4 separate regions of the Mus musculus genome follow, and all the other regions are reported to be linked to region 1. The links are microRNA targets in miRTarBase. Many come from high-throughput screens and were not tested one by one. Region 1 holds a microRNA gene; each other region holds the end of a gene's coding sequence.

Region 1 (4,217 bases):
GGACATTGAAAGGGTAGGGCTGTCCCTCTCTTCTTAGGGTGAGTATGAAGCCTGACTGTTAGCCTCCAGGTTTGACATTGGGGCAAGGATGCTTCCACAGCCCGGCTCACTTCTACTCTGGCTCTTGAGCTGATACTGAACTCTTCCAAAACCTTGGTTACCCAGCAGGCCATATACTCCTAGGTCCTGGGGCTGGAGATTTTTGTGAGGATCAGAACCATCGGTGACAAGATGGGTACACCATAGATTATGAGTGTCTTTACACCGTATTGATGAGGACACTTGGGACCAGCTCAGCTTTCTCTCCAGCTGGCTCCTGAGCTAGGTTCAGTTGTTCCTCATTTCTTCTGGGTCAGACAGAAAGGGGATGTGAAAAGCCTGCAATGGAGGAGCAAGGAAGCCATCCATGTGAGTTCAAGAAAGCTGCTTAGTGGTTAGGGCCACCAGGAGCTCACTCCTGTGAGGCATAAGTAAGACCATATTTTCTTTCTTTCCTTTCCTTTTTCTCTGTGTGGCCCTGGCTATTCTGTAACTCACAGTATAGACCGGGCTGGATCCACCTGCCTCTACCTTCCTGGTGCTGGGTTAAAGGTGTGTACTGCCATTGCCCAGCAGACCATATTCTTGCCTAGAGCAGGAAACAGGGAAGGGGAGAGGCTAGGCCACAAAGGGAGGCTCCTGATCTGGTGTCAACAGGCCAGAATGCTCCTGTCTGCATTCCAGCCTGAGCCTGCTGTAGCCTAGACCTGCCTAACCTGTGGCCCCAGGCAGGCAGGGTCAAGCAAAAGGTCACACAGAATGGATCCTAGAGTGCAAAAGCCACTAGGAATGAATCCTTGGTGGAAATTCAGGGGTCTGAGGAACCCAATGCTACCCCCTCCTGAAGCCCTACCCACACTCCAGAGACTTGAATAGACTTCTTGGCACTGGTTCTAAGCCCATTATGGTTCCTCTCCCAAAACTAAGCACAGACTAGTAGATGCAGTACCCAGAGACCACCCCACCCAGGGAGCTAGGCAGGGCTAAGCTGTATCCTCCTCATTTGAGCCTGTCACGTTTCCTAGCAAACACACACCAGTGCTCCCTATGTCCTGAAAAGTGCTTGTTCCTCTGGAGGCCCCTGCCCAGGCTAGGCGTAGTCTGCAGGATGCTGTTCCCAGTGGCACTGAAGAATCTTCCAAGCCTTCCATAGTGGCCACTATGCTTTGAGGGGGAAAGGCTGACAGAGCTCTGCTCCTCTGTGGCTGTATTCAAGTGGACAGAATCCCATTCTCCAAACAGTTGCTAGACCGTTTTGAACCACCAAGCAAGCCTTTGAATTAATGAAAAGTTTACTTTGGAATTTTGTAACGACTTTGGAGACAACAGTGTGATGCTAAAGCAAAGAACAGACAAGCTGCCCACAAATGTCTGGTCCCTGGCAGGGCAAGACCTGGCTGAGTGATGTCAGGACCTTACCAGTTGTCAGTGTTGGGGTAGCCTTGTCTGGGCAATTCAGCCAGAGGTCAGGGCCAGGCTTTGCTAGGCCCCCACCTAGTCACAGTGGTCTTGTTCATTTCCAGCAGAGAAGTGGACATAAGAACCCTGGTTCAGAGGATCTCCCCACTAAGTAGCTTTCCAACAATAAGAGTCAGCTTCATAGTTTCTCAACCCAAGAGGCTGCATGACCCTCCCCATCTGCAGAGCACTCTGAGTTTAATACCAGTGCCAGTCTAGAAAGACCTGGACTAAGCCTGCCCCTCCATCTCCAGGGACTGGACTGGCTCTAGATGTCCTGGCCCTGTAGCCTATAGCTTCCCTGGATATCCTTTTCCACTTTTCCATGGACTTGAGAACACCTAGCAGGAGTGCCCTGGGGAAAAGGCCTGTCCCAGGAGCCCATCGAGAGATCCATGGTACTGAAAGTGGCAGAACCAGGCAGAAGCATTCAGCTGCCAATGTCTTCCTGGAGGTGGCCCTCAGGAGGTGGGTCCTGTAGGTTTTGGTCCTGTTGGCTGAAGTTCATACCTGTGCCTGCCCAGAGAGTCTCTGGGCTTGATGACTTTGACAGTGGCTCTTCTGGGGACTGCACAGCCTGGAACCCTAATACACCTAAGAAGAAAGTTCCCTCCAAGAGGGTATCTGGCCCAAGCTCTGACCCACAGGTGCAGGACAGAGAAGCCCCCAGCCCAACGTGTCTCAGCTGGGCTCCTACAAGCAGGCCTGTCTGTAGGTACAGTCTTCTAGTGACCTGCTACCACCCTGTCTATCTGAATCCAGGTGCCCTTCCTCCGCCCCAGAGTGGACCATTTGCCCGCCGCCCAGACTCTGGTCACAGGGCCAGGGGTTCGCGCTGCCCAGGGACAGATCAGCCGCTGTCACACGCACAGTGGGTCCGGAGCAACGCAGTGTGCGGTGGGCAGTGGCTGTCCTGAGCCTGGAGGGACTGCCCCGGCGGGTGGGCAAGTGGAGGGGGGTCCTCCTCTCCGCCCCCGCCCTCATCTCCTCTAACTTGGGCAACAGAGCCACTCCTCTCTTGTCCCGCCCAATACCCATATCCCCCTGAGAAAAGCAGCCTCGAAGGTGCTCCCCCATCCTCCAACCTTGTAACCCTTCTATTTCACCTGCGACCCCGGCGCAGGGCCATAGCCAGCTCTTGGATCAACTTCAGTGGCAGCAGTGGCCACACTCACACCCAAGGCGGGCCCCAATCGGGTTCAGTTACCCCGCCCCATATGCAAATAGTCTATCTTGCAGCCAATAGCCGGTCTAGTAAGGCCCACCCTGAAGGGCTGCAGCCAGTGAACACGAGGGGGAGGCATCACGCCCCGCCCGCCGCCGAGCAACCCTTCGCGGGCGAGGCCGGCGCGTTCCTTTCTGCACGTCGGCTTGGGGAGGGGCCGCCACCTGCTGGGCGGGGCTTTCAGGGAGGCCTCGCTGGACAGTGTCTCCCTGTGATTGGGCGTTGGTACAACCCAAGGCATGCCTTTTCCTCGATCGGTGGTATGGCCCGGGCTCTCTGCCTCTGGGCCTGGAGTTGGCACTGCTCCCTGGTAGTGAAGTGCTTCATTGGCCCAGAGCAATGAGACAGCTGGACAAGGCAGGCCCTTTGAGGCAAAGCAGCAGCAGCCCCGCCTCCCAGACAGATGTTTAGGCGGGCTGGTTATTCCCCCACTCAGTCGAAGGAAGGACTGCTCCCCTTCGGGAACTCATAACTCTCCAGGCACACGTAGTCCTGGCAGTGACCCAGGGATGGTCTGGAAGGCCAGGGACACCATGCCCTCGGGAGGCACGTACGCCCCTGCCTTTCTTCAGACCCAATAGATCCTCAAAGATGTGTGTCCATCTGGCTGTGAGAAGTGGGTTGTCTCTTACTTGCCTGGAGATCCTAGGGGTCTGGCCCTGGGGAATCCCTTATCTACAGTGAGATTTGTCTTTGCCCTGTAAGCGACCTACTCTGGAGGGAGAGTCCTGCCGAGCTCTGGGCTCTCAGAGGGCTTGCCCCAGTCTTTTGAAAAGTAGGCAAAAGTGCCAGCGTCAGTTATTGGACTCCTCGGAGGAGATCCAAAGCAATGGGATGGAGGTGCAGCCAGAAGAGACCTCCTTCCCTACACACCTCCCTCACCCCTGGTTGTTCCTTGGAGGAATCATGGGGCATATAGCTCATAACCACTCAACAAGATGCAGCAGCTGCTCTTTTGCTTCTGAGGCAGAGATCATCTTTTCTCTTTCCTGTCTACCTCAACCAGTCTTCCACACCATCCTCAGAGATAACCTTGCTCCAGGCAACTCCAAAGGCCACCTTTGTCCACCTCAGATACCCTGGTCCTTGGCTCAGGGTCCAGCCTCCTCAGCTCAGCCTCCTGCCCCTCAATCCCTCTCCCCTGCTTCTTTGACCTCCACATATCCTGAATCTTATAAAGTCTGGGCTGGAGCCAGCCAGCTGCCAAAAACTCAGCCTACGCAGCAAAGCACTAAGGCCCTAAGCCAAATCCATATGCAGAATGTTGGGCATTGTGGCCACATAGGGATGTAGCACAGAGAAGCCAGGCGCTGACTCGGTTTCTACAGAGGGTCAGAAATTGAAAAATCAAGCTGGAAGTCCTGATGGACGCTTGTTAAAACAACAGAGAGATTATACCCCTATAACCTTGAATAGAGGCAGGAACAGGAGGATATGATGCAAGTTTCAGGCCAGCCTTCTGAGAGAAAGACAGAGAAAGAGAAAGGCTTGAATC
Region 2 (4,217 bases), not on the chromosome of region 1:
CTTGGGATTTCCAAAGGGGGTGAACTTGGCCTTGCTATGGCCTCCTTCCTGAAGGGCATCACAGCTGCTGTGGTCATCAATGGCTCCGTGGCTGCTGTTGGGAACACCATCTCCTACAAGGATGAGACTATACCCCCTGTGTCCCTTCTGAGAAACCAAGTCAAAATGACCAAAGATGGTCTCTTGGATGTCGTGGAAGCTCTGCAAAGCCCTCTGGTAGACAAGAAGAGCTTCATTCCCGTGGAAAGGTCTGACACGACCTTCCTGTTCCTCGTAGGTCAGGACGACCACAACTGGAAGAGCGAGTTCTATGCTGATGAGATCTCCAAACGCCTGCAGGCGCACGGGAAGGAGAAGCCCCAGATCATCTGCTACCCAGCAGCAGGGCATTACATCGAGCCCCCTTACTTCCCGCTGTGCAGCGCTGGCATGCACCTCCTGGTGGGTGCCAACATCACCTTTGGAGGGGAGCCCAGGGCTCATGCCGTGGCCCAGGTGGACGCATGGCAGCAGCTCCAGACTTTCTTCCACAAACAGTTGGGTAGCAAGAGTTAGGGACTGTCCTCTAAAATATAACCTATTAGTTGATGGTTTGGGGGAAACCTCATATATATTATCACAATGTCAGTTCAGGTTAGTTCATTTGAACATATTCTAATTTTTTAAAGTTTCTTTCTTTTTTCTTTTTTCTTTTTCTTTTTTTCTTTTCTTTTTTTTTTTTTTTTTTTTTTTTGAGACAGGGTTTCTCTGTGTACCCTTGGCCGAGACCAGGCTGGGCCTGAATTCAGAGATCGGCCTGCCTCTGCCTCCCAAGTGCTGGGAGTAAAGCCACGCCCAGCTTATGTTTTTTCTCAATATAATAAGTGCCTATGAAGGACTGAGGATATATAGAGCTTGGTGGTAATGCATTCGTCTTTCTTCCATAGTGCCCAGAATTCATTCCCCAGTGCCGTAAGACGACAAAGAAATTAAAACTTTCTTATAAAAATGTGCCTGTGGACCTGGTGAGATGGCTCCGTGGTAAAGGTGCTTTCTGCCAAGCCTGACAACTTAAGATTTTTTTCCCCCAGGGTCTACATGGTAGAAGGAGAGAACAAACTCTGACAAGTTGTCCTCTGACACACACAAGTGCTTGTGCGCGTGTGCGTACGCGCGCACGCACACACACACACACACACACACACACACACACACACACACGCGCACACACACACCACATGTGTAATTTTAAAATGTGCCTATCCAAAAAAAAAAAAAAAAAAAAAACAGAATTCTTTTATGTCATGAATTAAGGGGGAACCTTAAGTGTAAATATTCTTATTAAAATAAAAACTAGCTCATTATAGACAAAACTATGTTGTCCTTCCTTCAATTCTTGGGCCAGTGTTCCCACTCTTGTCATCCTTCCAGAAGTGGCTTTTGGGTGACTGTTCAGATACTTAACACACGTCTAGCAGCAGCGAAGAAGAGAAGGGGTTTTGTTTGTTTGGGTTTTTTTTTTTTTTTTATGCACACATCCAACAAGAACATCAATTTTACAAAGCAAACCAATGTTGGGAAGAGAACCTCTTGGTGTTTTGAGCTCTGTCATGGTGACATGAGGGGAGGATGAACATTTAGTCCAGGAGGCAGCAGAGCAGCTGGGGAAGGAAACAGAAGCCAGGAATCCCATGTGTGCCAACCTTCAGACCTGTCTTCGAGGCAGGGAAGAGGATGTGTGTGAGCAAACGCTCTCATTCCCGCACATTTAGGCCACAGCCACCTGCCAGTCAGAGAGTGGTCAGCACAGGAGGAGGGATTTCTTTACCCATTGCTAGGCTCATGCTTGATCCCCTATAACACAAGACAGGCAGTAAAGAGACGGCTATAGAACCCGAGTCAGAGTTATTATTTTTCATCACATGTGTGTCCGTGTGTGTCTGTGCAGGTGCCCACAGAGGCCACATGATTTCAGTTCCCCTGGAGTTGGAGTTACAGGTGGTTATGAGCTACCTAATATGGGTGCTAGGAACCAAACTCTGGTCCTCTGTGAGAGCTCGTAAGTGCTGAACCTTCTCTGCAGCCTCTGAACCATGTTTAATTAAACCATGTTTAATAAAAGGGTTGCATGAGCTGATTCAGTGGGAAATGGGACTGGCTACCAAGCCTGACAAATGAGTTCAATCCCTGGACCCCACCTGGTGGAAGGAGAGGACTGATTCCAGCAACTCGTCCTCTGACCTTCACACGGGCACCATGGCACACGCCTGCCCCCCAGTATACAGATGAATCATTTTTAAAAATTCAAACTGTTGCCAGGCGTGGTGGTGCACACCTTTAATCCCAGCACTCGGGAGGCAGAGGCAGGTGGATTTCTGAGTTCGAGGCCAGCCTGGTCTACAAAGTGAGTTTCAGGACAGCCAGGGCTACACAGAGAAACCCTGTCTCGAAAAACCAAACCAAACCAAACCAAACCAAACCAAACCAAACCAAACCAAACCAAATCAAAAACAAAAACAAAAACAAAACAAAACAAAAACCAACAATAACAAAAATCAAACTGTTGCATGGCATGAGAGCCTTCAGAAACTAAGACCCAGGTCTGGGGGGTGGGCAGAGGTGGCTCAGTTAAGAGCACAGTAAGCATGAGCCAGAGATCAAGGCAGATTCCTCTAATAAGCCTGAAAGTCATCAGGCTTTCTGCTTCGGGGTCCTGCCCTGAGTGCCTGCTCAGTGCTGGACTGTGTCCTGGAAGTGTTAGCCTTTTGCGTCCCACTCGACGGGCAAGAAAGACGCAACAAACCGGAATCTTCCACAGCAAAAGCTTTATTGCTTGCTTCTTCAGGAAGACCCCAAACCGGGAAAATGGCGCCGTTTTTATAGCCTGCAGCGTGACATTTCAGCACCTGATATGGCGTGACAGCTCCTGATTCGTTGCTCGCCCATCACCCCACTATTACACCTCGAGAATAGGAGTGACTAGGAGTGAGTTCACTCTCGCACCTGCGTACAAGGCTTGTTTACTAGTTAGGCACAGCGGAGGCCAGCGCCATCTTATAATGGTGATTGCTCTCGGCACGGCTCTCCACAGCGATTACTGGCGGCACGCACCTCGTGGCACGGCTCTCCACATTAGCCAAATAAACCCTTTCCTCCCTAAGTGCTTTTTGGTCATAGCATCTGTCACAGTGACAAAACTCAAACATTAGGTGGCAGAAGCTGGGAAGGTTAGCAGGGGAGGACAGTAGGACTGGCTGGTTATGGGTACAGTGGAAGTCTAGATTCTTGGGTTCTGTAGCACAGTATCTATCGCACAGATCGATTTTTGTTGTTGTTGCTGGAGATAATATTTTTGTTATTTTATGTGTTTTGCCTGCACATATGTCTGTGCACCACCTGCATGTCTGGTACCTGTGAAGGGCAGAAAGGGCATTGGATTCCCCTGGAACTTGACTTACAGATGATTATAAACTGCAATGTGGTTGCTGGGAATTGAACTCTGATCCTCTGGGAGAGCAGCCACTGTATTTAATCACTGAGTCATCTCTATAGACCTGGTGCTGGAGATCAAACCCAGTACGAGCAAAGCATAGAATCTACCATTATACCCTTATGGTGGTTTGAATAAGAGTGGCCCCATAGGCTCATAAATTTGAATGCTTAGTCATCAGAGTGGCACTACTTGAGAAGGATTAGGAGGTGTGGCCTTCTTGAAGTAGGTGGTCTTATTAAAGGAATAATGTCACTGGGGGTGAGCTTTGAAGTTCCAAAAGCCCAAGCCAGGCCCAGTGTCTCCTCTCTTCTTCTGCTGCTTACAGATCCAAGTGTAGAACTCTCAGCTATTTCTCCAGCACCCTGCCTGTGTGAGGTCGTGCCTCCTGCCATGATGATAATGGACTACGCCTCTGGAACTATAAGTATGCGCCAATTAAACGTGCTCTTTTATAAGAATTGCTGTGGTCATGCTGCCTTTTTACAATAACAGAACACTGACTAATACAACCCCCAAACTCCATAGTGTATTTCAAAACAGGAAGGATTTGAATATTTTCTTTTTCTTTCCTTTTTTGTGTGTGTGTGTGTGTGTGTGAGAAAGGTTCTACATTTTATTGCTGTTCAAACCACACCCCCAATTTAAACATAACTAAGTCCCCGGGTTAAGAATGTTGAGCTCCGTCTGGTAGGACGGATCGATCAACGTGGTTCAGTACAAACCCTCAGTCTTGCCATTGTGTGAA
Region 3 (4,000 bases), not on the chromosome of region 1:
GATATGCATACCGTTCACTCGCAAGCTTACTCCGGTCTCTGCTGAAGTTGTCTCTTGTTACGATTTGATGGCAGATCTGGGAACCAAATCGCTGACCCCAACCAAGCTTGCCAGACAAACACTGTACAGACTGATCCATAACAGAAGCCCTCCAATATTACCTTATTAGAGGAATCTTTTATGACCAGACCACCTCATCTAAAATAGCACCATCCCAGTCTTCCCCAAATCGCCATCTGCTGTGGACTCAATACCTAGGCCTCCCCCAAATTCCTATGTTTAAGTAAGTCTTAGTTCCCAGTGTGATTGTATTTGGAGATTGGGAGGAGGGAGCGGTGTGGTGTAACATCAGTAGTGGGGTTAGAGCTCTTCTAGGAAAAGACTGGAACTCTCGCAGCCCTGTGATCTTTCCAGTGAGCAAATGATGATCTTCAAACCAAGAAAGGGAGCCTGTGGAACCACCTTGATCTTGAACTTTCAGACCCAGAACTGTGAAATATCTGTTTAGATGGCTCAGCGGTTAAGAGCACTGACTGCTCTTTCTAAGGTCCTGAGTTCAAATCCCAGCAACCACATGATGGCTCACAACCATCCGTAATGAGACCTGATGCCCTCTTCTGATGTGTCTGAAGAGAGCTATAGTGTACTTAGATATAGTAATAAATAAATCTTAAAAAAAAACAATCTAACAAAATAAAACAGAAACATTTGTTGCTCGTGCTCCCCGCCTATCCTGTACTGCAGCCTGAGCTGAGACCACCCCCTTGTCCTTTTTCATGTCCTTGCCAGCACTTGAATTGTTTGTCACATATGTATCTCTGCCTAGAAAAGAAATTACATATTCTGCTCTTTGATTGTTTTCTTAGAATGTGAGATAAAGAGATTGCCATCAGTTTTCAATAAATATGTTAGAAGACTAGTTTCTAGATTCTACTGTTAACTGATGATAAGTTGGTCCCTGGTGCCAATTGTTCCAAAGAGAGCTTTTTTTTCCCACAAGAATGAAAGATAATTGGACTTGATGGGTTTTATAGAAGAGGAGGAGGAAGACAGAGTTAAAATGGGGTAAGGAGTGGGGGTGGATCTCAGTGGAGTTAGGGAGGAATAGGAAGTGAATTTGATAAAAAATACATTGTATAAATATCAATTTCTAAAAACAAATAAAATATGTACTTTTTAAAATAGCAGGAAATGGAGCTGCTGGCCACTAGCATGGCAGTTATAGAACTGTAAAGTGAAAGGTGATAGCAAGGTGATTATTTAAAATCTACGCACAGGGCATAAAAGAAACTTACATACACTGTCTGTAGTTTATGGCCACTGAAGGTAATGCATTACGAGTATCAGAGAGCAGGAGAGCCATTGTTCGTTGTGACAGATTTAAAAGGATTTGTTTTTTATTTTGAAGCTTGTTTTGTTTGATCTTGACCTGTGCTAACTGCATATTTGAGCCTATGGGGGGGGGGGAGCTGAACAACCCACGTTTTCAGTCCATTTGTTAGGCAAAATATGAGGAAACATGGTCTATTTTATCAATTTTTTTTGTTTCGAAATGGCTATTTAAGTACAGATAACAGTACACACGGCAAACTGGAGGAGCAGGTCTTGCTGCCTTAACCAACCCACCTGCTACCTGATCTGTGCACTCAGCCTGAAGAGCCAGCTATGCACTGTGGTGCAGTACATCTGGAGGCCTGCCCAGCCCAGCCCCAGGAGCAGGAAGAACCCTCAGAACGAGCATGTGGAGGTTGAGAGAAATCGCACAGGACGTCCTCCATTTGTGTGATTTCAGAACAGAGTGTGGGGTGGGAAGAGAACCACAAACAATAGGGAGAGAAAAATTGAGGGAAGGTCACTACATTTTGCTTACAAGAACTAGTCATGTAATGTGAAATATGGTGAGGGGCCCCCAGTTTGCGGAGTACAGACCACTTGCTTAAAACAACCAGCCTTTCTTCTTAACTAAGTTGGTTTGGAGGTGGTTCTGTTTGCACTGATAAAGCTGAATACATTGAGACATTACCATAAATCCTTTTGTAAAGAATTTTACTTATGTGACTGTGCCTGTGCGTGTGTGTGTGTGTGTGTGTGTGTGTGTGTGTAGCTCCGGAGTATACAGATGCCCACAGAAACCAGAAGAGGATGATGTCAGATAACCACACCCCCACCCCAGGACTGGAGTTTCTTTCCCATTTGAGCCATTGATATGGATGCTGGCTGGGTTCTGAAGTCCAAGCCCTCTCCAAAAGCAGCAAGCACGCAAACCAACTCTTACAAAATCATAGGATGATTATTTCAAACAACTGTGTTTAGCACCTATCCTGCATCAGCATTTGCCTAATTGTGTAGCTTTGCTTGGTTTTGTTTCTTTGCTATTTAAGACAGGGTTTCTCTGCATAGCTTTGGCTGTCCTGGAACTCACTCTGTAGACCAGGCTGGCCTGGAACTCAGAGATCCGCCTGCCTCTGCCTCCCAAGTGCTGGGATGACCACTGCATCCTTGTGTGAGCTTGCTCCACAACTGCCAAGTTGTTTCCGGAGTTTTGGTGGTGGTGGTTTTTTGTTTGTTTTTGTTTTTTCCAACTGAAATAGCATTTTCCAGTAGTTAACACAGCTAGGAGGTAGGTGTACTCTGAGGACAGAGGGGAATTGGGTGATGTGCCAAAACACCCAGATACCGGGGTTCTGAATCCCAAGCCTTTAAATGGCTGTGATTGGATAATTCCTCTCTAGTGGAACCCCCCATCATTCCTTTGCACTGTTCTCTCTTCTTACAAAAAGGCTAAAACAGTCAAATATGGCGGTGAGCACCTCTAACCCAGCACTCAGGAGATGGAAGCAGAAGGAAACAGAAGCAATCATAATAGCAAGTCTGTGTCCAGCTGCTCTATGTGCCTCCTGGACCTGCCTCAAACAAACAAAGCGCTAAAAAATAAATACATCTAAGTTTGACTGTGGCGTGTGCTTAGCCGCAGGTGTGCGTGTGTATACACGCAATTTCACCGTGCAAAAGCAAGCAGTATATGGGGCTTCGGAGCAGAACTTTTCATTGCACAGGTACCAAGACACTTCTGTTTCTGAAAAAAAAAAAAAATATATAATAAAGTTTCCGAGTAGCGTTTGCTTGCAGAGAATTCTGGGAACCAGATGTGGGAAACATTTCTAGCTATGCCCACTTGCTTGCAGACGCTTCTCTCTGCTGTTACACAGGGCAGTATTTTAGGGGAAGCCACATCCCAGATCAGCTGGGGACCCAGCGGAATTTGTAACCACCGGTGACTGTCCGGATGGTGAAGGCTTTGCCCTGGGGGAAAGCCAGGGTGCGGATGGTACTGTGGCTGCGGATGGGCGTGCTGAAGGAGCCGCCTTCCTCCAGCTCACTGTGACTCAGATTCACCGAGCTGGCGCTGCAGTCGGTGCGCAGTCCTCGGAAGGCGCCGTGGAGGTTCCTGGAGCTGCAGTCCTTGCTGTCTGGCTCTGGCTGCAGCCTGGGCCGCTTAGGGTCACGATTGTGCAGGGCTTCCTCGCAGCGCTGGGAGATGTCTCTGAGGATGGCGTCCACTTCCGCGCAACCCTGCCCTGCTTGCCCCGCAGCACAGAACAGCTCCTCCAGGCTCCTTTTCGTTGTTGCCTTGATCTGGAAGGGCTCGGCAGGAGACTGCGTGATCATCAGCTTCTGTGAAAGATGAGGGAGAGCCCTGGAGCCAGGGGGACTCGCCTGGAGCCGCGCTGGAAAAAAAAGAGTCAGGTGCGCGCTACTCGAGGGACACCCAGGGGCCCCAACACAAGCTCACTGTCACAGTTCCGACCGTGTCCCGCGCGCCGGTCCACTTACATCCAGCACTGAGGCCAGGTGCCGGGTCCGGCTGGCGAGTTCTTTCAGCTGCACGTTCCTCTCCCGGAGCGAGGCTATCTCCTCCTGCTTCTGCGTCAGCGTCACGTGCAGCTGCAGGAGATCCAGCATCAAGCAGAAGCCACAGTGCTGGGTCTGCTCTTCAGGA
Region 4 (4,217 bases), not on the chromosome of region 1:
GCCATTCAGGTGAGGAGACACAGGGTCTGCTTTGAGGTGTCCCCCAAAGTACTGTCCCTCACAAGCCTACTCATAGCAGCAGACAATGGTCACCAAAGTTAAAGGTGTACCTGGAGCCTGAGAGAGATTTCGAATATGGAAAAGATACCAGTCACTCTCCACTGCTCAGAGAATGGGGAACACAGCACGGCGCCCAGGAGAGGTCCAAAGAAGCAGGAGTCCAACCTATGCCTGTGAGCCAAATGCAGCCATCTCTTCTGTTGCTGCCGTTCCATCATCTAGAAATGGTGGAGAAGGTGGGCCTGCAGGGGCTAGAAATACTGAGGACGGATAGAAAAGGCCAGGTTAGAGAAGGCCAGCAGAGAGGCAGCTGAAAGATACAGACCCTCTGGAGACAGCTGGGACAGTAGTGTCACCTCTGGCCATCAGTGATGTCACAGGAGAGCAGAGGATCACTAGCGTCATGTGTCTCTCCACAGTGACCACCTGAGAAGTGACAGCTCGTCACCTGAGTAACGATCTTCACAGCTTCTAGTGAACTGTGAAAACAAAGATCATCTTCCCGCTGCCCCTGGGCCTCACCATACCTGTCTCTTCCTGCCTCATAGGTACCTGGGCCTACAGGTAATCTACAAGGTCTTGGGCACACTGCTGCTCTTCTTCATCAGCTGGAGGGTGAAGAAGAACAGGGAATACAGTCTGCAGGAGAATGCCTCGGGCCTCATCTGACCTTCAGCTGGGACTACTGCCCTGCCCCAGAGACTGGATATCCTACCCCTCCACACCTACCTATATTAACTAATGTTAGCATGCCTTCCTCCTCCTTCCCTCTCTCTCTCCCTCTCTCTTGCGCACACACACACACACACACATACACACATACACACACATGCGCCAGTGCGCGCACAAAAGAGAGAGAGAGAGAGAGTTAGTTCACTCACCCCTTGTCTCACCGGCCTCTTCCTCCTAAAGTCTCCCGCATGGTTCTTAGGGCCTGAAGGGTCCTGAGCTGAATGAGCGCTGGACTGAAGGGTCTAGTTTCTCAGAGTCCTTGGAAGGGATCCTCTCCTCAGCCCTGGGTCTTCCACTGTCCGTACTAAGGCAGCCTCTGTTCTCACCAGTCTCTCAGGAACACTTCAGTGGTGGGAGAAATGGGAGCCTTGACTTCCGTGCCAGGCAGCCCAGCTCCTCTGTCTCTGCCCACACCCAACAGAGAGGCAGGGGAGCAGCAGGTGGTTGTTTCTTAGCAGCTACCACTGGGCTAAGGGAGCTTGGCTGTGGCCGCTTTGCATCTGGCTTCAGTCTAGCATGGAACCCAGGAGGGACCTATCTCCCTTTCCTTTCCCACTTTCTGCCCTCAAGGCTGATTTGGAAACCACCACTTTGGGAAGTATAACCCTCTCTGTATACTACTCCCTGGTGTCAGAGCAGGAACGAAGGAACCAGCAAGGCTAGGTCATCCAAGCACTGTTCCTAGGAACCTGAGGCCTACCCTCAGGTCAGCATGTGCTTCCTTCTGCCTTTCAAACCAACAAAGCCCATGTAAGGAGCCCATGTAAGGAGGACCCAGTCTCCCACCCTCACAGTAGAGACAAGGTCTTTCCCCCTTCAGAGACGCAAATAGCCATCTTTACCATGCCCCGGAAACAAAAGAGTGACCTCACATGGGCTTTGCTGTCTGGACTTCAGCTCATGTGCAGAGGAGTAAAGGCGGTGAATGGGGGGTGTGATCCTGAGATGCAGTCAGACCAAGGAATGGAGCAGAGTGGATGCCACCTGTCACTGTGCCAGATGGCAAGTTGCAGCCCACAAAGAGAGTAGCCGGGTTGACTCGCTTGCAAACACATTGTCTTCGTTGGCATTTTCTCAGCTTTTCCTCACTACCTCTCTGGATGTGGAGGTGGGCTCCTTCTGTGGGCCTGGGCTGGGGGCCACCACTGCCATGCAGTGGAGAGGCAAAGGCAGAGGCCCAGGAATGAGGCCTTTTCTCAACGATTCTGTTTATCAGAGAACTGGCTTGGTGTTTGTCAGGGATGCTGTATGGTTCTCTGAGAGCTCCCCTGGAAAACCTTACCTCCATTCGCATTGGGATTGCTCCCAGAGAGCGCTCGGTGGGCAGCAAGAACATGCTCACACACTTGCCAAGCATATCCAGAACCAAAAAGGCTGGCGGAAAAGATCCTGGTCTGACTGCCCATGCACACCCTGAGGCTCCAGCAGGTTGACTGTGTGCCTGAGCTGGAGATCTGGCTCACCGTGTCCCCGAAGCAGCTAGGCAATTGACATTGCCCTATGTGACATTTAAGTGCCTTTCAGAAATGCCTTATATGGTGAGAAGCCAAATGGTTTATGTCGGCGTGGCAAAGGTCCTGTGAGACTGAAGCCTTCAGGGAGCCTTTGTTACTGGCAGTGTTCTTTCTGAAGCCACCGGGCTCATTTCCACAGATCTTATTAAGGAGGAGGCTCCACACAACCTCACGGGCCAGTTTCAGCATGTGGAACGGTTCTGCTTGGAACCTGATTCTCTGCAACTAACCCTGGGCTTACTCACTGCAGTTTAACCAGATTCTGAAGGCATAGCCTTCCACCAATCTCGCAAACAATGAACGTCAACCTTCCGTTCCCGGAAGATCAGCTGTCCCCACAAGTCTTTATTCTATTATATTGCTATTAATATATTATAATTCTGTTCTGGGTGTAAGTTGGTTGTAAATTTGTGCTGTCCTGGGTCTATCAGAGAACAGACAGAATTTGTGCCTTCTAGACAAAGAAGTAGCCATGCTTTAAACTTTAGAGGCCTGTAGCCAAGGGTGTTAGAGACCATGTTACTCTCAAGCCACCTGCCTGGTGCTGAGCAGGTCCCAGGCATTGCTGGTTGCTGTGTGGGGCCTTGTGCTTTCTGTGCAGACCAATGTCAAAGACTCATGCTCTTGGGAGGCCCAGTCACCGTCCTTGAGTTCATATCCAGAAGTGGGCTCAGTCACAAACACTATAGCCATGAATATCACAGTCATAATTGATCATTTACTACTATTCAGCAAATCTTGCCTCTCAAATGCCAGAGGGGCTTTAAAGATCTCACTTTTTTTTTTCCAATTAAAGAGCAAATTGTCACAGACTTCCATGAGTGTATCATGCTCAAGATTGCTGTTAAAATACAGGAACACCTGGGCTGGAGAGATGGCTCAGTGGTTAAGAGCACTGGCTGCTCTTCCAGAAGTCTTGAGTTCAATTCCCAGCAACCACATGGTGGCTCACAGCCATCTGTAATGGGATCTGATGCCCTCTTCTGGTGTGCAGGTGTACATGCAGATAGAGTACTCATACATCTTTTTAAAATGCAGGAACACAGCCGAGCAGTGGTGGTGCACATCTTTAATCCCAGCCCTTGGGAGGCAGAGGCAGGTGGATTTCTGAGTTCGAGGCCAGCCTGGTCTACAGAGTGAGTTCCAGGACAGCCAGGGCTACACAGAGAGCCAGGCTACACAGAGAGCCCTGTCTTGAAAAACAAAAGAAACAAAAAATGCAGGAACACCCTTCCCAAAGCCTGAGGCCCCTTTCTGTGACTGTAAAAGGAGTCCTGAAATTCCACCTTCCAGGAAGATGAAGGTAACCCCTGAGCCCTGTGTGATGTGGGTCACCCATGCATAGAGCCAAATCCAGGCAAATTGACCGTAAGGATTAACCACCAAAGGTGCCTTTATATGTAAGAAGGTCATAGTAGGTCTTTGATCTCTTCTCCTTGCTTCTCTGTGGAGCTTAGGAACCCTGTAGAGTCTGGCTCGGGGACAGAGTTCCATTCCTGGGCACAGCCAGAGCTATCATTCTCTGCTGCCCCACCCAACCTAGGAAATGCACCATCCAGCCTCACAAAGAAGAAACCAAAGAAACAGGAAATAAAGGGTTTGCCATCCTTTGGAAGGGAGCGATATCTACCAAGTGTCCTTGAGTCCAAAGCCTCTGGCAGGACCCTCGTCCCAGCCTATGATGGGAGCCACACTAGTATGTCTGAAAATGTAGAATCCTAGGCATGTGGAGCATGCCTTTAATCCCCGTACTTGGGAGGCAGAGGCAACTGGGTGTGTGAGAGTTCGAGACCAGCCTGATCTACATGATGAGTTCCAGGACAGCCAGGGCTACATATTGAGACCTTGTCTTAAAAAAAGAGAAAGAAAGAAAGAGAGAGAGAGAGAGAGAGAGAGAGAAAGAAGGGAGGG

The links. The annotated mature microRNA mmu-miR-210-3p reads CUGUGCGUGUGACAGCGGCUGA and lies in region 1 at 2,348-2,369, opposite strand. An mRNA with a match to its seed (bases 2 to 7 or 8) in the 3' UTR can be bound and repressed. Matches are read on the target gene's strand: a 7mer-m8 pairs with bases 2 to 8, a 7mer-A1 pairs with bases 2 to 7 and ends in A, and an 8mer does both.
Region 2: the mRNA of Acot2 is a reported target of mmu-miR-210-3p. Seed matches in the 3' UTR shown: 7mer-m8 at 1,157-1,163.
Region 3: miRTarBase lists Mcidas as a target of mmu-miR-210-3p. Seed matches in the 3' UTR shown: 7mer-m8 at 2,976-2,982 and 7mer-m8 at 2,066-2,072.
Region 4: the mRNA of Slco2a1 is a reported target of mmu-miR-210-3p. Seed matches in the 3' UTR shown: 7mer-A1 at 903-909.

What each region holds. Positions count from the first base shown.
Region 1 is chr7:141,219,060-141,223,276 of GRCm38, forward strand. Mir210 (microRNA 210) reads right to left here and starts at 2,434; the gene lies at 2,325-2,434.
Region 2 is chr12:83,992,526-83,996,742 of GRCm38, forward strand. Acot2 (acyl-CoA thioesterase 2) reads left to right here. Exons shown (of 3, transcript NM_134188.3): 3 at 1-1,352. The coding sequence ends at 555. Among named protein-coding and RNA genes, the nearest start is that of Acot2, 6.8 kb to the left of the region's middle.
Region 3 is chr13:112,998,425-113,002,424 of GRCm38, reverse strand. Mcidas (multiciliate differentiation and DNA synthesis associated cell cycle protein) reads right to left here. Exons shown (of 7, transcript NM_001037914.3): 6 at 3,835-3,945; 7 at 2,031-3,675. The coding sequence ends at 3,241. Among named protein-coding and RNA genes, the nearest start is that of Mcidas, 6.6 kb to the right of the region's middle.
Region 4 is chr9:103,085,151-103,089,367 of GRCm38, forward strand. Slco2a1 (solute carrier organic anion transporter family, member 2a1) reads left to right here. Exons shown (of 14, transcript NM_033314.4): 14 at 609-3,115. The coding sequence ends at 729. Among named protein-coding and RNA genes, the nearest start is that of Rab6b, 25 kb to the right of the region's middle.